Saccharomyces cerevisiae S288C: one gene and its partners. The protein of the gene in region 2 interacts with the protein of the main gene of each other region in a biochemical or structural test. Each region holds a gene or a part of one and is shown on either strand. Other genes may lie near its edges.

Evidence for each region.
Region 1: the proteins of CNN1 (region 2) and KRE28 interact in a test that uses a peptide from one of them, tested with the Saccharomyces cerevisiae proteins (one large-scale study listed by BioGRID).
Region 3: of the proteins of CNN1 (region 2) and MPS1, one has a biochemical effect on the other in vitro, tested with the Saccharomyces cerevisiae proteins (2 studies listed by BioGRID).

What each region holds. Positions count from the first base shown.
Region 1 is NC_001136.10:1,497,057-1,504,288, forward strand, and holds KRE28 (Kre28p), read right to left. Parts: upstream 3,498-7,232; coding exon 2,340-3,497; downstream 1-2,339. Other genes in the region: APA2 (bifunctional AP-4-A phosphorylase/ADP sulfurylase), read right to left, coding at 1-712; CAB1 (pantothenate kinase), read left to right, coding at 1,176-2,279; HSP31 (glutathione-independent methylglyoxalase), read right to left, coding at 4,391-5,104; FIT1 (Fit1p), read right to left, coding at 6,258-7,232.
Region 2 is NC_001138.5:242,101-249,168, reverse strand, and holds CNN1 (centromere-binding protein CNN1), read left to right. Parts: upstream 1-5,009; coding exon 5,010-6,095; downstream 6,096-7,068. Other genes in the region: PRE4 (proteasome core particle subunit beta 7), read left to right, coding at 1-103; alpha-ketoglutarate dehydrogenase subunit KGD4, read right to left, coding at 275-646; RMD8 (Rmd8p), read right to left, coding at 1,035-3,023; BNA6 (nicotinate-nucleotide diphosphorylase (carboxylating)), read left to right, coding at 4,003-4,890; MRX20 (Mrx20p), read right to left, coding at 6,170-7,068. UniProt on the Saccharomyces cerevisiae protein: Component of the kinetochore, a multiprotein complex that assembles on centromeric DNA and attaches chromosomes to spindle microtubules, mediating chromosome segregation and sister chromatid segregation during meiosis and mitosis.
Region 3 is NC_001136.10:400,278-407,745, forward strand, and holds MPS1 (serine/threonine/tyrosine protein kinase MPS1), read right to left. Parts: upstream 3,015-7,468; coding exon 720-3,014; downstream 1-719. Other genes in the region: ARP2 (actin-related protein 2), read left to right, coding at 1-361; MRX9 (Mrx9p), read right to left, coding at 3,418-4,680; putative serine/threonine protein kinase RTK1, read right to left, coding at 5,067-6,929. UniProt on the Saccharomyces cerevisiae protein: Involved in mitotic spindle assembly checkpoint signaling, a process that delays anaphase until chromosomes are bioriented on the spindle, and in the repair of incorrect mitotic kinetochore-spindle microtubule attachments.

The DNA of each region.
Region 1 (7,232 bases), on a different chromosome or scaffold from region 2:
AATCTTGGAAAAATGTAAGTGCTCTCTGCATCAAAGATACGTAACACATAGCAAGAAGATCTTCGTCCACTTGATCAGACGATTCCGGCAGCGGCAAGACGAAATGAGCAAAGGAAACCTTATCATCTTGTAATGGCTCTGCGTTGAAGGTGGGCAAGAAATGATCCTTTCCGTTGCACAATACGTCCTGAAAAGGTATAAATTTTTCAGGCATTTGCATGATCTGCAAGTGTTTGTGATCTTGTGAGGAACCGCTATGAGGTCCACAATTATAAAAGACCAGATACCTTTCACAAGTGACATCATCGTCCTTGTCTCCTTGGAGAGAACAGAGCACATTATAAGCAGTCATCAAGTCACTTGGCGTCAAAGCAGATCTCTGGTCTTTAAACTCGCTTGTCACTAGGAGACTATGTTCAGGGACCACAGGAAATTTGTTGAGTAGCAGCTTATATTCTCCGTCACCATTTAGATCTTCAGTCACCACTAGTTCTTCGTCGGGATTGGCGAACGGGTCCTCCGCCTTTGAATCGCTATTCTTGTTAGCGTCTGGCTTAAGTGCCAAAGATGGAGCAAATGTCACCCAATATTGTGTCGTCGTTTGAGGATCTTTCAACTTCTTGGATTCTGCATGCGTTACTTTCAGATGCCCATTCTTTTTGGCTGCAACGAACTTATCGTGGATTTTCTGTTTCAAATTCTCTTCAATCATCTTTGTCTTCCTATTTTCTCTGACCCAGGGGCTCGGTTGCCTTTTAATTTTATTATATTTCAATAGTTCAACACATTTTCGAAACAGGCAAAAGCTTTACACGTGACGTTGGTATGATCGAGTATTATTCATATGGTCGTTCATGATTGCGTATTTACGACAGTATCTCAAAAAGTTTCACTCAAATGCGGAGAACTATCCGCGATCTACGCATTGAGCTCCTTTAGTTTGTAATTGCCGGGACCGATTTTTTTTTTTTTACTTCTGACTGTTCCACTTAGGAATCTTACATGACGTTAAACGACTAGCGCAGTTCCCCCAATATCGGCCGAAATTTTATTTCACCAACATAACGATGAGTAAAAAGAACTTATGTTTCTGAACAGATTGATCATTAAAACTAAAAAACTACCAGAATAAAGAAATTTATAGTTCCAATTGAGTGCATGCGAAAAGAATCGCAATGCCGCGAATTACTCAAGAGATATCTTACAATTGCGATTATGGCGACAATACTTTCAACCTTGCTATTGATATAGGAGGCACTCTGGCTAAAGTAGTCTTCTCGCCTATACACAGTAACAGGCTGATGTTCTACACCATTGAAACAGAGAAAATTGACAAGTTCATGGAACTTCTGCATTCTATTATCAAAGAACATAACAATGGATGCTATAGAATGACTCATATAATTGCCACTGGTGGTGGCGCCTTCAAGTTTTATGATTTGTTGTATGAAAATTTTCCTCAAATAAAAGGTATATCGAGGTTCGAAGAAATGGAAGGCTTAATTCACGGTTTAGACTTTTTCATTCATGAGATTCCCGATGAAGTTTTCACTTACAACGATCAAGATGGCGAAAGGATAATACCCACCAGTTCCGGCACCATGGACTCAAAGGCTATCTACCCATACCTTCTAGTCAATATAGGGTCGGGTGTCTCAATATTAAAAGTCACCGAACCAAACAATTTTAGTAGAGTAGGCGGTTCTTCACTGGGAGGAGGAACTCTTTGGGGCCTATTATCACTAATTACTGGCGCTCAAACTTATGATCAGATGCTCGATTGGGCACAAGAGGGTGACAATTCTAGCGTTGATATGCTAGTTGGAGATATTTATGGAACAGACTATAATAAAATTGGTCTAAAGTCGTCAGCTATTGCAAGTTCATTTGGTAAAGTTTTCCAAAATAGAATGACATCTAACAAATCTTTGGAAAACAACGAAAATAAATTATATTCCTCACATGAGTCTATTGAGAAAAACAATGGACAAATGTTTAAGAATCCTGATATTTGTAAAAGTCTTCTATTCGCCATCTCCAACAATATTGGGCAAATAGCTTATTTGCAAGCTAAAATCAATAATATACAGAATATATACTTTGGCGGATCTTATACCAGAGGACATTTGACTACCATGAACACTTTGAGCTACGCTATTAATTTTTGGTCACAAGGATCAAAGCAAGCGTTTTTTCTCAAACATGAAGGCTATTTGGGTGCAATGGGTGCTTTCCTAAGCGCGTCTCGTCATTCATCTACTAAGAAAACAAGTACGTAGATAGATTTCACTTTTTTTTTGGCTAGTAATATTACATACATCTTTATCTAGATAATTAATTTATTCGTTTGTTAGCTCGCTTATAATGTCATCCATTACCTCAAAGATTTGCACCTTAGTATTATTTCTGTACTTATTGTTAAATTTACTGCTCGCTTCAATGTCTGTGACTATATTGCCACCCGCTTTTTGTAAAATAGTAATGTCTTTTATCATTGGCCTTTTTAAATCGCTTAAAGATATGGCAATTATATATTGCATATCCTTTATTTCAAATTGTACTTTTCCAAGCTGGGTAAAGATTTCAAAATTTAATATAGTCGTCTTTGACCCTTTGAGTAAAAAGTGCTTTTCCCAAAATTTTGTTAGCAAATTAATTGACTGACATAATTCTGATTCATTGGCCATTAAATGTCCAGAATCCTCTTTTTTTGATTGCTCTCCTTTTCGTATTATTTGATTTTTAACTTCATGCATTTCCTTGAGCTCTTTCGTTAACCTTTGATTTTGCTTCTGCAAAAATAGTAGTTTTTGCCAATTCGTGTATGTCTCTTCCACAAAATCATCTGAATCACTTGAATTTAATATCGTATCTTTTTCTCCCATCATATTCTTATCTTCTTTGTTTGTTAAATTTTTTAGTTCATTGAGCGAATCCCAACAATTTTCAATATCACCAGTGGCTTCCAGATACAACTCATTTATTAAATCTTGCCTTTCTGCAAAGTTGTGACCGGTCTCTTGGATTTCAGCTTTGATTTGTTCTATTTTGCTTTCTTGAACATTCGAAATTTCTTCCTTTAAATCATTAACTCTTTCATTAAGTTTTACAAATTGGGGGTCTTTTTCGGAATCTAACTGCAAAGGTTTCGTCGAGGACAAAGTAAACCTGAAGAAATAGTCCAATGTCTCCTGTTCCAAGTAAGTCAACTTAAGTAACTCCATTAGTTTATTGAACTCCTTGATTTTTGCACTCAGAATTTTTGGATTTACAAAGACCTCCTTTCCCTCTACGTCTAAGCTCTCATCGTTCCTAAGAGGATTCACAAACTTGTTCTCTTCATTTATTGCCAGAATGCTGGAAGTAATTTCGTGCAATGTATTTTTGAGCCTTAGTTCTTGGTTATTTAGCACTTCTTCGCTGCTCACAGCAATAGAATCCTCAATATCCGTTAACACGGTCTCATAGTCCTTTATGCTCGCACTCCCTGTATCCATTTCTTCACTAATTTTGTTTTAAAGCTAGTCTATATGTTTTTTTCTATTGGTTGAAGTTTTTTTGATGCTGCTCATTCTCCTTGTGTTTATAAATAATGAGTTACGCGATCTTCACTTTTTTTACATGTGCTTATATTTAACTGCCTAGTTCCCAAGCGATGGCATTAAAGACAGCCAAATGCTAATTTCTGGTTGAATAACCTAATACGTATGCCCTAAATTATTTTTCCTTTTTAATCTGGAAGATATTGTTTATCCGGATGATATAACGTTCAATTTAATTGATGGGCATTACTAAATATTTTCAATATGACCAATTCGTGTCGACATTCTGCCATAATTAACCTGAGAAAAAAACATTTTTCGTGATCATTTAGCAAGAAACCGCAAGGAACAGCTCACTAAGATGCAAATAACCATTAGATAACTGAAACACACCTACAATGTCCCACATGAATAAACCCTTTAGGAAGCATCGGCAGCTGACAGAAATACCAAAATGAAAAAAAAAAAATTTAGAAAGTTTTATGTATAGTTTTACATATTGCATAGATGATTTGCAGCGTAACGACGCTAATGCTTTCTTCTCCATTCTCATTGATATTAACGTTGGCTAGATAAATGCTGTGCAACGGAGTGGCTGAAAAATAAATTGTAGCACCTTGTTGGAGACCAAATGTAGTCTTCACTATTAACCTCTAGCTAAAGCAGATAAAAGATAAAGATTATAAACTTTGGTTATTGGAAGACCCATCTCAGACATGTGTTTCCCCAATATCCAAATATTTCAACGTATTAACAATGAGGTACATCCCTCGTACTCAATAACGCCTCCTAAAGTTCCTTACATCTATATAGTAGTACAAAGGAAATTCTAATTATCAACCTTTGGCTCAGTTTTTTAAAGCGTCGATGGATCTTACGGCAGTGGAGTGCGCAGAAGCAGGATTCACACCTGTTACCAGTCTTCCGTCAGTAATAGAGTAATCATCCCAGGGCCCAACCGGAGCTAAATACTTAGCGCCATATTTTTTAGCAACATCTTCAACGGTTGCCAAATTCTTGGCTTTCAAAATACTATCAACACCCAAAATGGTTTCACCAACATCAGTAAAACCGGTGATAGATTTACCTTCGATCAATGGTCTTCCTGTTTTTTTGTCTGTTAACCCATCAAAAATAGCAGGACCGTGACAAACAGCTGCGACAACACCACCGTTAGCATAAATTTCGGAAGCAATGTCCTGCAAGTCTTTAGCCTTAGGATAGTCAAATAAGGTACCGTGGCCTGCAGATGCAAAAAAAATTTGGTAATCATCGGCATTCACCTCTTTTGGTGTCTTAATTTTAGCCAATGTCTTGTTGAAATCTGAGTCTTTATTTTTAAAATCCGTTTCGTCTTGACCATTTAGAAAATCTTTGGCTAAGGAATGCTCATCCCAACCAAATTTTCCGGTTTCAGATACAAAATCGACTTCAAAACCTTCTTTTCGGAATGTGTTGAAGGGATGTAAGGCTTCTACAACAAAAACACCGGTCTTGGCGCCGTCACTGTAGAATACATCGTTATATGAGGTAAGAGCGAGTAAAACTTTTTTTGGGGCCATTATAAATTTGTTTGAGTTTTATCTGTGTAATTAGCCAGTGGGAAGTACTTAAAAATGCCGTTAATAAAATTTAGCGGATGATAAAGAAATGAATGGTTCTCCTTATGGCTGTTTATATATCTGATTTAAAGGGTAACGGAAACCGGAAGCAATAATGGAACCGTGAAGCCATCCCTTGAAAAAATTTTCCATTTCTTTCATGAAGACTATGTACATGCCCCTTATGCCAAGCTTTTTGATTTTCAGGCTAGGAATGAGTAACGTTAATTCTCTGTATACATTCGCCCAGATTTCTTTACGGGATTTATGGATCCGTCAGAACAAAAAGCCGCCTCCCATGGATATCCTGCGTATTAGTCAGCATTATTTCTTTTATTCCGTAGCAGCTAAAAAATCTCCTAGAAAGAACGATCCTATCTGTCGCAACGGTACGTCGTGATTTTTTTATGGGCTTATTCTTCCGAAAGTGTTCATTAAAGCATTTGGTGCATGTTTAATGTTCTATTTTTAATACACGTAGTAAACTTCGTGTTTTCTTCTCTCTGACCTAAATTATTACAGCCATATATAACTTTTTTTTTTAAATTCGGATAACTGGCACAGTACCAAAAGCTAAAATTTCTCACAAAAACATAATTATATGACAAACTGAACTACTCATTGCTACAGGTAATTTCAATAAAATGCGCTCAATGAAGTTGTGAATTTGCTTGCTTGTCTTTCTCGACCTTCTTTCAGTATTATACTCCATTTGAATCTGATCACAAACACGAAAGTTCATTTCTTGTTTTGAACTATAAAATCATCATGTCATTTTTTAACTTTTATTTTCCTTGGCGTCAGATAAAACAAATACCCACTCTCACCTTTTAAAAAGCAAGAAATAAATAAAATGGTTATTTTTGAAAAGTCATATTTAACAAGTGAAATAGACATTGTTTTTAGATTATTTTAATCAACACCTGATATTTTCTTGATATAATATTACATACTGGTACATTCTTATAGACAGCCAGTGTCACGCAGACAAATAACATTGCGGACATAAGCTTTATCAACTATGATGAAATACTTAATTCACAATGCCATTTTGAAAAGTAAGACCACGGAGAGATCAGAAAGGTTGATTCTGCGCATCTGTCGTTAGCAGAAATTACAAAAAGATAACGGCAGCGAGCGCAGCGCCCATCAGACCCGTACCAGCGGCGATAGAATCAGCCGCACCCGTGTAATTCACGATTTGAGGAGTTGTGGACGACTTACCGTTAGTGAAAATACCAGCGGTAGTGGTTTGAACTCTTGTAATAGAGGATACCATTTTTGTGCTTGCAGAAGAACTTGATGACCAATTGTTACTTTCATGGGTACGAACAGATTGGGCATCCCTAGAAGAACTCTCTGTGTAAGCTTGCCCAATTCTAGTAGGAGTAACAATAGTAGCGCTTGACTCAGAGGAGGTGGTAGTAGATGCTACAACTGCAGACGTGGATTTAGAATTAGAGGAATTTTCAGTAGTAGTAGAAGAAAAAGTTGGCACAACAGAAGAGGTTTTTGCAGCAGAAGAAGTCTCAATAGGAGAAGAAGCCTGGACAGAAGATGAAAGAGAAGTCTGAGTAGGAGATAAGCTTTTAACAGAAGTGGTCTCGATAGTAGAGGAAGAAGAAGAAGTCTCAACAGCAGAAGTCTCAACAGCAGAAGAAATCTCAACAGCAGAGGAAGTCTCAACGGCAGAGGAAGTCTCAGCAGCAGAGGAAGTCTCAGCAGCAGAAGAAGTCTCAACAGCAGAGGAAGTCTCAACAGCAGAGGAAGTCTCAACAGCAGAGGAAGTCTCAGCAGCAGAGGAAGTCTCAACAGCAGAAGAAGCCTCCACAATAGAGGCCTCAGTAGTGGAGGGAATTTCAATAGCAGAAATACTAGAAGTTGCAACGGTGGAGGCAGGAGCGCGTTCACCCTCACCAGTCCATACGAAAGTAGCGTCCTGGGTGACGGTCTTTGTGTAGACATGTCCATTTTTGGTGGCTGTAATAGTGGTAGTTATACTCGAACCAGATCCTTCATCAGTAGAGGCAGAAGGTTCAGCAACAGATGTTACTGGAGAAGCAGCTGTTTCGACAGTAGCAACGGTTGA
Region 2 (7,068 bases):
TGATAAGAACACAGGTTTAACTTTCAAGAAAAACTTGCAAGTTGAAAACATGAAATGGGACTTCGCCAAGGATATTAAAGGCTACGGTACTCAAAAAATTTAGAAGAGTTTTATCCCACCTTCATTAAATACTCATTTTATTTTTATTTTTCAATTCATAATATCATCACTCTTCTCTCTTCCTAAGTAACTACGTTTTTACATAGATATAATGATATGTGTAAAGAAACTATAAAATAACAAAAAAAAATCATAATATTACTGCATCTATCCTTCACCATGCACCACCGCTATTTATGCTCTCCAATTCATGCTCGTTAATAGGTTTGTACCGAAACCTAGCAGGTAGCTCGAAAATGGAAGCAAGCTCATCTTTTTGCAATGGCCTGTTAACGAATACAGAGGTCTTTGACGAGCTGAGACCAGCATTAGCGCTATGCTTTATTGGCACTACACGGAATGGTTTATAATTTTCCATGAATTTACTCACTGGAATACACTCTTTGCTGCCAGGTAACATTCCGTTGGTAGCGCAAGGATGAACAACGACCTCAGTTGCATGCTTCACTAAGGGATGCCTTGTACCGACGAATTTTATCATCGGCTCATATGCACTCTTTGCTAATCTTATAGGTGTAGCAATCATTTCCCTGTCTTCTTGTACTTTTATCTTACTCTTATTATCGGTTAAAAACCTGGGGAAGTACTCCTTAATGGTTTGCTTTAAAGAATTCAATGCGGCTAGAAATGAAAAAGACTTTTAAGATCACTGAAACACTGCAATCTGGCTAAAATATTAGTCTTCACTATCGTCTTTTTCTCCTTTGTTGATGCGAAAGATGAATTTACATATTCGAGTCCCTTAGTCATATTATTGTACTTTTAATGCAATCTTGAGGGGAGCCAATCAACGAGTGGTTTTACTTGCACGTGACCAAGAATGGTAATAACGGTGAAATATATGACTAAAAACCTTGATAACTAAATATATCATTAATTTATTTTTAATGCCGTCTAGAAGGGTGTATGAATATCTATGTAGAAGTATGACGATGAATAATTACATAACGAACGAAAATCTCTGTTAATGAAAATATAACTCCAAATAAAATGACAAGAATAAACCACCATGTAACACGAGCCATGTTTCTTTCAGCAACAGAGTCAACGCATATATCAAAGAATTCCAAGAAAACTTTGCAACGATCATTTAATACTTGTACTCTTTGGTCAATTTCTAAATACTCCCTCATTGCCACGTACAGTGGATGCAAACTTGGTTCGAACGACCAAAAAAACTCGGGTGTATCCAATATGGTGGATGAAAGGTTAACATCCACTCTCAATTTAAAGAGCTTCCCTGATTTTTTCAAAAGCTGTTCCCTTTTTAACCCAAGGGTACCATATAATGCTAGTCTTTTAGGTAGTTTTGTGACTGATATTAAAATCGGCGAAATTCTGGATTCAAACCTTGATAATTTCGAAGATTGCGCAATCGCATGTGATAGTGTCAGCTCGATAATGTGGTCACCTGAACGTAATGTGACAATATCATTGAAAATTCTCGGTCTCTCGGTATCTCTGTCATATTCGAAATGGAATTGTTCAGTTTCAATATCTTGTTCATCCAGCGGCCGGATCATTAAATTCTTATAATCTGCAAATGTTATATCACCAAGAATATTTTTCTCTTGAATTTCAGTAAAGTTCCAAAAAACAATAACGCCATAGTGAAAAATGAAAATTTCTGCATGTCTATCATTGCCTTCATGGTCGTTGTCCCTATGCATTTTATATACACGATCAAAATCATTCTGTGATGAAGATGGTGGCGATGGCGTAGATATTGATGATGGCGAAGCTGGTGAACGAGAGGACTGTACATACTGATCGTTTCCCTCAACAGCATAAAGTTTACTCTTATCATTATTTTTATTATTATTATCGTTGCCACAACTTGCATCACTGTCGTTTTCCTCCTTCTTCAGCATGTTTATTCTTTCTGTCCTTTCCCGTTTCTCTATCTCTAAGGGAGTTTCTTCCGCAAAAAATTGTGGTTCCATAGGATTAAAAGAGTCTTGCTGACCAACTGGATTTGGTAGATGATCGGGAACTGTTGTGGTGTCTTGATTAGCGTTATTGTTATTTCCACTGGTTTCTAGTTCGTAATTATTATTTGCATCTTCCACAGTTTCCACACCTGAGTAATATTCATAATGATGATCTCTCTGTTCGCTTGTATCAATTAAATTATCAATTAATGTCTTTCCACCCATTGTTTTCTTAGATAAATTTGATTTGATTCTAAAACCGCCTTTACCTGGTAGAAGTGGCAAAGTATACGCAACGTATAGACACTCATCATACAATCTTGGTGAAACCTCATGAGTTTCCTGCAGAAACTTATACAATTGGTTGAGATTGAAGCCATCAGCAACATTATATGCGGTGATTCTTGCCATGGACTTTTCTTTTGAGTATCGAGGTAGCCGATCGAAGGAATTAGACTTCATAGAGCCCACTTTCGGTCTTTGCCTATCCAGCGCGTTCGTTGGTAGAGTTTGAAAGTGGTTCAAGTTGTCGTCTTCCGGTATCAACACTAACTTTTGTGACGTCTTCGATGTTCTTGGAGGCAGGGGATTGATCATCTTTCTACGCGAACTTAACCGCTCATATTGGCGAGGCCTATCGCTTGAAGAGCTGGATAGCCTTTCCTCTCTTCTGGCAGAGGGAATATCTGAATTATCAGAAAGAATATTATCTATGGATATATCGCTAAACCTGCCAGACGATCGCCTTCTTGGATGAGTAAAACTCTGCAGCGGAGAAGGGCCAATAGCGGAAGAGCGAACTCCTTGAGACTTCGTAACTCCTGCGTTTTCCATATTCTTCCTACTACCAGCAGCGTGTCCAGCGAACGGTGCACTCATTCTATTCTTGGATGTTCTTGCATCTGTCACCAGGATGGAAGGTGACCTTTTCGGCATCTCCCCAGGAGATGGTTGGTTAGCCTTATAACTCATACTGTCGTCTTAAATGGAAGTCCTTTCCTTTGCTCCATATGCAATTTTGCATACGAACTTCCGATTGATATAATCTTGTATTAATGTATGCCTAACCTGGTTTTGTTTTTCTTGTAGGTTTTTCTAGCCAGTTTTACTATAAATTGTCACTTTTTCCTAGTAGTCAATTTGAAAAAAAAAAAAATATATGGGTAATTATAATAACAAGAAGTGTTCTTCTGATTGTCGGAGATGCCTCTAATGCCAATGCACAGGCTTCCATAAAGTTTTCAAGCATGACAGAAAGCTAACTTGTCTTTTACTTCTTTGTTGGGCACACTTCTCATTTTTAAAAAAAAGATTTCCACCTTCACGATCATATCTGAAATGAACTGAATATTTTGTTCTTGTGAGAATAAACTTGTCTACTAATCGCAAATTTTTCAAGATTAACCTTCCGCACCCATTGAGGTACTAAACTGATCTACCCTACCTTTCCTAAATACCTAATGTCAGGTACATAATGCCAGCGACAGCTCAAAATCACGGGATACTAATTATTAAATAGTAGTAGCTTCTTCTCCACGCACAGTTCGATCGAAGGAGCTAATATTCGGCTTGTCATCTTCCATGGCCAGTAATTTTTTTTATTGTCATTTGGGACTAATGAGATGGAAACTAGAATTGTAGTTATACATCCTGAGGTTTCTATCAACTTGTGTGTCACAACGTTTTATATACTTGAATGCGTAGTAGCAAACCCCGGCAAGACGTAAGTTAACTTGTCAAAGGTACAAGCTTGGTTACAAACAATGTGATATTTCGCTCCAGGATATTTTTGCTTTTGGTGACGCCGGTTGGTTGAAGAGCCCCCATTTATCATGACTCCTACCGCAGTTTTCGTATATCTTGGGCCATAAATTCGAAAATTAAAGACACCACTTAATAACGCAACAAAAAGAACGCAATCCTCAGAAAGAACACACACCAAAAAAAAAAAATGCCTGTTTATGAACACTTATTGCCCGTTAATGGAGCATGGAGACAAGACGTCACCAATTGGCTGAGCGAGGACGTTCCTTCTTTTGATTTTGGTGGATATGTTGTTGGTTCCGACCTAAAGGAGGCCAATTTGTACTGTAAGCAGGATGGTATGCTGTGTGGTGTCCCCTTTGCGCAAGAAGTCTTTAATCAGTGCGAATTGCAAGTTGAGTGGTTGTTTAAGGAAGGCTCCTTCTTGGAGCCTTCGAAGAATGACTCTGGTAAGATTGTTGTAGCTAAAATTACTGGGCCCGCTAAAAACATTCTATTAGCTGAAAGAACCGCCTTGAACATCCTTAGTAGAAGTAGTGGAATTGCCACCGCCTCACATAAGATAATCAGTTTGGCGCGTTCGACTGGTTACAAGGGGACCATTGCGGGGACAAGAAAGACTACACCAGGTTTACGTAGATTAGAAAAGTATTCCATGCTTGTAGGTGGCTGCGACACGCACAGATACGACCTTTCCTCTATGGTCATGCTCAAAGATAATCATATTTGGGCTACTGGTTCTATAACAAACGCAGTTAAGAACGCCAGGGCCGTGTGCGGGTTTGCTGTGAAGATCGAAGTGGAGTGTTTGAGTGAAGATGAAGCCACAGAGGCCATTGAAGCTGGTGCAGACGTTATCATGTTGGATAATTTCAAAGGTGACGGTTTGAAAATGTGCGCCCAAAGTCTTAAGAACAAATGGAATGGTAAAAAGCATTTCCTCTTGGAATGTAGTGGAGGCTTGAATTTGGACAACCTCGAGGAGTATTTGTGCGATGACATTGACATTTACAGCACTAGTAGCATTCATCAAGGCACACCAGTGATTGATTTCTCATTGAAACTGGCTCATTGAAAATGCTTAGGCTTCGATTTTTACTTTTTTTTATTTACATATTCTAAATAAGATTAAGAAGCTACGCGTTACCGATTAATGACACACACGACGATTAGTAACGAAATAAGAAATGAATAATGAGCACTCCCAGGAAGGCCGCCGGTAACAACGAGAATACAGAAGTCTCAGAGATCAGAACCCCCTTTCGGGAGAGAGCCCTTGAAGAACAACGTCTCAAGGATGAGGTACTGATCAGAAATACGCCAGGTTATAGAAAACTTTTATCTGCTTCTACTAAGTCTCATGACATCCTCAATAAAGATCCGAACGAAGTACGAAGTTTTTTACAAGACTTAAGCCAAGTGTTAGCACGCAAATCACAAGGCAACGATACAACTACTAATAAAACTCAAGCACGGAATCTAATAGATGAATTAGCGTACGAAGAGAGCCAACCAGAGGAGAATGAGCTTCTTCGGAGCAGAAGTGAGAAACTGACAGATAACAACATTGGCAATGAAACGCAACCTGATTATACTTCCTTATCGCAAACAGTATTTGCAAAATTGCAGGAAAGAGACAAAGGCTTGAAAAGTAGGAAGATTGACCCGATAATAATACAAGATGTTCCCACGACAGGACACGAGGATGAATTGACAGTGCACTCTCCAGATAAAGCTAACAGTATCTCTATGGAAGTTTTGCGCACGTCGCCAAGCATTGGAATGGATCAGGTAGATGAACCGCCAGTACGTGATCCGGTACCAATTTCCATAACGCAACAGGAAGAACCACTATCTGAAGATTTACCAAGCGACGATAAAGAGGAGACAGAAGAAGCAGAAAACGAAGATTATTCGTTTGAAAACACCAGTGACGAAAATTTGGATGATATAGGCAACGATCCTATCCGTTTAAATGTCCCTGCGGTGAGACGTTCTTCTATAAAACCGCTGCAAATAATGGATCTAAAACATCTTACAAGGCAATTTTTGAATGAGAATAGGATAATATTGCCGAAACAAACGTGGTCTACTATACAGGAGGAATCTTTAAATATAATGGATTTCTTGAAACAAAAAATCGGCACGTTACAAAAACAGGAATTGGTAGATTCGTTTATCGATATGGGTATTATCAATAACGTTGATGATATGTTTGAGCTCGCGCACGAATTGCTTCCCTTAGAACTTCAATCAAGAATTGAAAGTTATTTGTTCTAAAAAAGATACCGTAGAGAAAATAATTAAATAGTGGCAATTTATGTACAGAAAAGAGTAAAAGATCCACAAAATTATCAAGACCTGGAAGAGAAGCCTAGTAACAAACTAACCTGTTCATAAACAGTGAACGTTAAGCCTCCTGAAATACCGACTTTCATAAACCTAAAGATGGAGCCCTTCCAGAATGTGGCCATGCCTTCTTGAACAAATATTCTATACATGCAATTTAAGGTATTTTTATATTCAGTTTTGGCATTTTGACTCATCATCCTTGTTTTTACGACGTCAATGGGCTGAGTCATTGCCACGAGTGTAAAAGATGTGGCTAACCCCGTTATTACTGAGGATGCCTTGTCGTTTCTTGCTTGTAACAACCGTTTAAATGCTGTGTATGCAGTAAATTGAATAGAGGTGTTAGCTATCTGCCTAAATATGGTGGCTGTTGTTCCCTGGACGAACGCAGCAGGGCCTCTTGTTTGATACATGTGTTTTACCGCTGGAAGTAGTTTCTCGATACGAGCCACAGGAGTAGATTTAGTCGCCACCTTGTGAAAGGTTGCCTTTGCGTTAACTACAGGTTGATTCTTCTCTAATTTTTTATGATCGATCATCGCCGATTGGATAAGGGTGGTTTTTATGTTTTCAAAAGGGATAATAAACAAACTTTCTACTATTCCTGTCAACGTACCAGCGATCAAAAGGTTATAACCAGTCAGTCTTTGAAAATTATCATTATTATCAATGTTATTATTCAGGGAGTGGCATAACTTGTCGAACGTAACGAACCTTAAAATAGTCTTACCAAATGCGGCCACGTTTAGGGCAGAGCAGCCAACAAAGTACGACTTAATCTGAGGTAAAATGATTTCGAAAGCGGTACCCTTCGGTTGCAATTGTAAACCAGTCTTTAAGTACTCAAATGGGTATGTCATTGTCGTTTGAAACACAGCAGCTACACTGCCGGCAGTGATTT
Region 3 (7,468 bases), on a different chromosome or scaffold from region 2:
TGAACAACCTGGCGTGGGCGAGCTGTTATTTAATACTGTGCAATCGGCTGATGTTGATATCAGAAGTTCCCTGTATAAGGCCATTGTTCTTTCAGGTGGTTCAAGTATGTACCCAGGGCTGCCTTCGAGATTAGAGAAAGAATTGAAACAATTATGGTTTAGTAGAGTTTTACACAATGACCCTTCAAGACTTGATAAATTCAAAGTTAGAATTGAAGATCCTCCAAGGAGAAAGCATATGGTTTTCATTGGTGGTGCCGTTTTAGCTAGTATCATGGCTGATAAAGACCACATGTGGTTGTCTAAGCAAGAATGGCAAGAAAGCGGGCCATCTGCAATGACTAAATTTGGTCCAAGATAGATTTGAACTTTATTGATCCAAAAGAATTAATAAAAAAGTTTAAATCTACGAATGAAAAATGGAAATGGAATAATATAAACTTATATATAAATGTAATAAGTTAATAAGGCACAATTGTTGAACAAGCAATCAAAATATAATATTTCACTGAGCGCCGTTAGAGGATAGTTATCCTTTTCTTGGTATTTCAAGTATTCAGTGTCTGTGTCGAAAAATTGATTGATGATTTATTTAAATGAATATATATAAATATGTAAAAAAGAGTTGATCAAAGTAAATAAATCAGTACATGCATGGCAAACTCTAAATGTATTTATGTTCATAACTGGCACATGCTTTTCTTCCTTATGCGGCTCTTCTAAATTTTGTAATCTGCAAATTTCCTTAAAACAGTGTCTACCACATCATTGAGATCATCTTGTGATATATGAGGCTTCTCAGAGCCATATCTAACGGCATTCCTAATAAGGTCTTCCATAATCGATCCGGATATCATAAAAGGTTGAAGGAAAGTGCTACTCAGGACTTTATCCACAGTCCATCTTTTGTCTGGGTTCCTGTACAGACATGCTTTCATTAATTCAATGGCAGACTTTGGAATCTTTTCATTATTGCTAGTATGTTCAGGAAATGGGATTTTCACATCAGGATTCATAATAGCCAACAGCCTATTTTGGCCTTGGAAACTGCCATATGGGGGTTTCCCGTAAATCATCTGATATATAATACAACCGCATGACCACATATCAGATGGTCTCCCCACTTTCCACTTGTTTCCCTCATGTTGGTTCTCACTATTTTGTGTGTAATTCATAGCAACTAGTGCTTCTGGTGCCATATAATTTGGAGTCCCAATTTGAGTTTCACGATATATATTCACCGTATGTTCCGGTACCGCGTTTGCTATACCAAAATCAATGATTTTTAAGATACCTTTCACTAAAACAAAATTTGCAGGTTTTAAATCCGAATGAACTATGCCCGCATCATGAACTACTTTAATGCACAGCAACATTTCCTTTGTATAGAATCTAACAAAATTAAAATCCAGTGGCATGCCGCTTCTTTGGTTAAGGATTTGTGACAAATCATGATCACCACATTCCATTATCAAATACAATAAACCATCCCCCATTTCATAATCTAGTAGTTGGATTACACGCTTTTGGTCTTTCAATTTTTCCAGAAGTTCTATTTCTCCTTTGAATCCATCAATACTTGAATCGTCAAAAGCGTCAAAAGACACCCTTTTGAGCGCGTATACCCTATTGCCAGATCCTTTCACCTTGTAAACTCTGGAGGATCCACCTCTACCCAAAAGTTCTATTTTTTCGTACTGGGAGTCATTTACTGTAATTATATTTCTATTATTCGATAAAGAAGCGGACTTTGCAGGTTCAACAATTTCAACTTTCTTGGTGACTGGAGGTTTGGGAGCAGGTCGATGGTAAAATACTTCTAGATTTTTACTGTTTATATTCTCATTCGTTATTGCATCATCCAATGATCGTTTTAGTCTCTTATTCTCTTGTTGAAGGAGATTATCAGCGTGATTTGCATTTATGCTTATGTTTCGCAGTACTTCTCTTTTTTCGGAGTCGGAATCTTTATTTCTGGAAATTCCTTTATAAATTTTATGAATTGGGCTGTTGAAATTGCTGTTATTGCTAGTATCAATATTCTCCTTGAGAGCTCTTCTTATTTCGATCGATGACTTAGATGAAGATGATCCAGTAGAAACTTTTCGCCTGGGTTGAGAACCATTATTGGATGTTATAGAATTGTCCTTGTTTGCCAATAAGTTGTTACTAGAAAGTGAAGAGGAAGAAGACCTACTTTTATAAAGCAATTCTCTGGAACTATGTTTTCGGAGTGCTGCTTGTCTATTTTCTTCTCTTTGTTTATCAAAGTAGATTTGAGATATTAGTGGAAGGTCACTTGTGGGAAGATTATGTTTTTTAATATACTGGATAGGATTCAAATCTCCAAAATCAATTGAATCATAATCCGTATTTCTCTTCGTTTCTTTAAAGTTTGTTTGGTGAGAATCCTCAAGTGGTAATTCCACTGTCTCCCTTGCATTTATTGGCTGGTTTGGAGAGTTAGGCACATCCTCATCAAAGATATTTGTCAAAGTCATCGCTCTCTTTGCAGGACCCAGCTTCGTTGTCCTATTGGATATTAAAAATCTCTTACTTCTCCTTTCAGCATACTTTGCCGTAATATCTTCTTTCATATTTTGTCGCAAATTCCTTATCCTTTCAAAACTCTTATCAAGACTATTTCCAACATTTATCTCTATGTCACTAGTGTTCATCGTCGTCATGCTAGTCTGGTGATTATTTCTCAGATATCGTCCGAACAAGGTTGAATGCGATGAGGTACTAGTATGACCGGATGTCAAATTGCCCATTGACGGTGGGGGGTGACTCCTTGATGAACTCCTGTCCATTTCTTCTAATCGATTTGCGATCTTGTCATTATTATGACTTGATAATATCTCTGATGCTGAAGTTTTTTCTGTGTGGGAAAGTAAAGCTGATCCGAAATTGCTTAGTTTTGGAGGCGTAGTGAACTCTTCGTCATCTGAAAACTGTCGTGTATTAGTTCTCGATTTTAAATCCACATAATCATGGAATGAGTTTGTTGACATGTTTGTTTTGAGATCATCCAGTTCTTGCAGAAACAATTTATTATTTTGGTTGTAAAGCTACTTCTATAAACAACTGCAATATTCCTATTCAGACTTCAGTGGGCTGGGTCAAGTAGGCTTCTATAAATTTTGTAGGTTACTATTAATATAGTAGATCTTAAATTCTCTTTAAGCTTGCCTTCACATAAACATCACTATTACTCTTTGCAACCCTTGGTAGTTTTTTTTTGGTTTTGTTTACTATTTCTAATTGATATTATCATTTAATACGATGGAAGTGACACCAAAAATTATTTTGTGTCACTGCACACCATAAATAAAGGTATTGGTCAGAATATATAAACATGTATGATATATAAATTGTGGCATCACAGTAATGCTCAAACAAAAACTTTAATGTTCTTTACTCTTTTAGGGTGTATTCAGTGTTTTTGTCGTTTATTTTTGAAATGTTATATTTTGAAAAGAATTCTCCAGAATCACCATTTGTTGTGATAACAAAGTGTTTTGATAGTAGCGTATTTACACTTTTGATGGCAATAATTGTGTTAAGGGTTTTGCTGCTGTTAGAGGTTTCACTTTCTTGTAATATCTTGAAAAAATCAGCCTTCGAATAAGCTCCGCCATTGAACATTATTGCAGGAAAGGATTCGTCTAAAATAATGACATATACGTCTGCAATATGCTTCTTGCCCTCGAGTTTTTTTGAAGGGTTTAGCGGTAAATTTTTCATTGAGTCTAAATACAACTTGTATCGAACACTGGAAAATATGAAAGTTTGGAATTTTCTGAGTTCACTTCGGCAATTATCAATATCGAGTTCCAAGTCATAGGATTCTTTGATCCATTTCTCGACGCTGTCTCCTAAAAAGTAGGATCTTATTCCCAGTTCGTTCTTGGTGAAGGACTCCAACACTCTTTTCTGCAGGAAACTTAGAAACTGCTTTCTGGTTTCTTCTTGCTTTACTAAATCAACATTCAAACCTTTGGCAAACTCGTTTGGAATTCCCATCCTGGAAGATATCTCTTTCCAACTCTGAACCATAGGTTGTAATTGTAATGATCTCATGGTGGGTAATGTTATTTTCAATTTTGTTTTCGGTAAGGAGGTCAAGACATCTTTGTAAAAGATATTTTTCTGCCATTTTTTGAATTGTTTAAAAAAAAAGAACATAATAAGAAGGGGAAAAAAAAAGTGAAAAATTAAGGGAATAACGACTATCGTTGATGTTAGAATGAATGTGAAGATACTTGCAGTTGCAAATATGATAAAAAATGGGGAGACTTTATATACTTTCACAAACGGCTTGTTACCGTTCTTTGGTGACTTCGAAGAAAATATAAACTTTATTTCTGCACGTCGTGACGAATGGAAGGCTCTTTTACCAACCAACCTGGATGTCGAGCTTTTCAGACTGGATAGAAATTGGTGAGTGGTAGAACAATAATTAGAAGAAATGCATGAAAGCTTACGAAACTGGAAACTTTCTCCTCGATATTTTGGAATTGCGGGAGATGTAATCGCCGAAGGCACTGGTTTAGGAAAAGCCCTTAATATTCCTGGCAAGTACATATTGAAACCCTTTCCATTATTGAGACTATTGAGCGTAACGCTGTTCATAAGCTCCCTTGTCCTACTGGCTAATCCCACTGGAACTTTGAACATTTTTTCCTACTCATATGTGGTTATGGTGGTCTTATTTATCTGCGCTAAATCACTTTTCAATTATTCTTTGCAGTTTATAGGGGAGGAGACTTCCTCTTTGTAAAATCTAATAGGGCGTGTTCACAATTTTATGCGTCGGGTGACTTCAATTTGGCGCCCGTTGAGATTATCTAAAAAATGCTTTTATTTATTTAAGCGCTTTTTGTTTTGACGAATGTATTTATGTTTTTGTATATATATGAGCGTTTTTTTTTTCCAGATTTAACTAGTTTTCTTTTTCACCTGTATGCACACCATCTTTTATTCCTATATAATGCCTTTTATAGTACTTTGAATCTTCTATATACAATTTTTTAGGTTTTATCTTTTAAAAAGTGTTTATTTCATTAATTTGAATCTTTATTCCCGTGTTGCTTGGTCAGCTCATTCAACTCCTCCTCAGTGACCAAGTGATGCTTATGATTCTTTGGTTTTTCAACCAAATCGCCAGATGTAGGGTCAACTTCACAGGAGGGGACGGATACAAGCCAATCATCCTTTACCACGTCATTCATTAAAACTCTTTGCTTTGGTTCTAAAGCCAACATTCTGCCTATTATTGTCCGTGAATGTCTTGGCAGTAGCCTTAATATTTTATTTGGCCCCCGAACTATATCATCTTCGTCCTCAGGTTCCTCAGTAAATAACCTAAATGAGTTGAAGCTCTTTTTTGGAGCCTTCCAAGGAAATCTTTTAAGGACCATACAGTAAAATATAATAGCGATAGACCACACATCTGCTACTCTTGGATCGTAGGATGTTTGTTTCAATAACTCAGGAGCCAAATAAGGGTCAGAACCCACGATTCCATGTGATTTTACAATGGTATCTTCGTAAGGGTATTGGAACACTACAGCGCTCCCAAAGTCAATCAGTTTCAAGATGCCATCTTTAGTGACGACACAATTGTCCAATTTTAAATCCCTATGAGCTAAGCCCATAGAGTGCAGGTAATTAACGCCGTGGCACAGCTGCTTGAAGTAACAGTTGACTTCATCTTGTGTCATTAGGTTACTCATGACGAGATTAAAAAAATCATATGGCGCATACTCCATTACTAATAAATAGGTGTCACCTTCAGTCAACATATCTAGGGTTTCAACGATATTTTCGTGGTGCAGCGTGGAACCAATACAAAATTCAGTGGTAACCTTCTTAGAATAATTAGCTAATTGAGACTGATTAGTTCCTTCATTGTTTAAGTGTGGTTTTCTGAACATTTTGCAAGCAAATAACTTGCCGTCTGTTCTTTCTACTACGGACACTGAACCGGAAGCTCCTTCGCCTAATTTTCTACCAGGAATACCATATTTTTCTAATAGCTCCACTGGGTTATCTGTTTCGTATAACGCTTTTCCGTTACTTTCTACTATATTTTCATTGGTGTTCAAATTGAGCTTCGGTTTTGTAGGGGTGGATCCACGGTTGTGATGGTGGTGATGATGATGGTTATCGTGATAATCATTATGAATTTTTTTGAAAAATCTTGTTAATCTCAAGGATTTTTTCTTTCTTGATGAGGTATCATCACTACCGCTTGAAGAATTATGCTGTAGTTCCACGGACCCAGGGGTGGAGGCTTGAGAGTCCATGAAGTGTTTGTCTTCAATCTGTTTCTGTAGTATCTCTACGGGATGCATATGTGCCTGGTATGATAAATTCGAAGAGGGTGTATCAGATTTTGCAGAAGACACTGTAGAAATGTTGCTATGAGCTGTAGAGCGAACGGGGTGAGGATGGTGGAAAGCATCTTTTGAGCCTTGATGAATGTAGTTTATTGGATTGTGAATACTATGGGGTAAGTGGGGCACAGTGTGTCCCGTACGAACGGGATTATGATTGTTAGGTAAGGGCCGTGAAGGAGAGTAGTCAATAGGAGCTTTTTTAGCTGAAGTAGGAGAAATACCTGTCAAAGTAGAACTTGCTACTACGTGTGACTCCTTTGACAACGCGCCATTTCCCTGGGGGCTCTTTCCTATGGTAGATCTTCGGTCGTTGGGTTTGTTATACTTTATTTGATCCTCTTGGTCAGAATCTGTATTCTTTTTTGAAGATCTAGAAGAAGACCTTGAAACATCATCTGTCTTTGAGTATGATTGGTTACCACCTCCATTGAATATTTTAGCCGATAAATTCTTCAACTTAGTTGGCCTAAATAATGAAGACAGCGAAGTTGATGAAGATGAGTGTAATGGAGTTTCCTTAACCATTATGCTATGAATTTCAGGCTGCTCTTTTCTGTCCTTCTCTCTTTTTTTCCCTCTCAAATCCTCTCAGCTTATTAGCGCACTAAAGAGTCAGTTTGGGTGAATAGCGTAATCAACTTATGGAAAAGAAGAACACTAGAATCCGTCACTATTGGCTGCAAATAAGTATTATATCTTTTTTCAATGAGAAATCTTGCTTGCCCCATAACAGGTACAATACTTAGCAAGCCAGGAAGAGTCACACTGCAAAATAGATATATGAGAAGCGGAAGTAGCTTTTCCCCTTATAGATGTACGCCGTTCGATATTACCCGAACTGCAAGAAAAGCTTCTCCAAATATCTACTGGCCTCCATTCAAGAAGGCAATTAAAGAGACTATGTGTACATGAATGGGAACTTGGTATGATGGTAGTAATGCTTTATTAGTCATTCCCCTACCCCCTTGCGCAACCTATCATTTTACTTGCCAGATGTGCTCTCCACTGTTAGAGCCTCTTCGCTGACAAAGAATGGACGAGTACGCGAGCGGTGAAACGAGCAC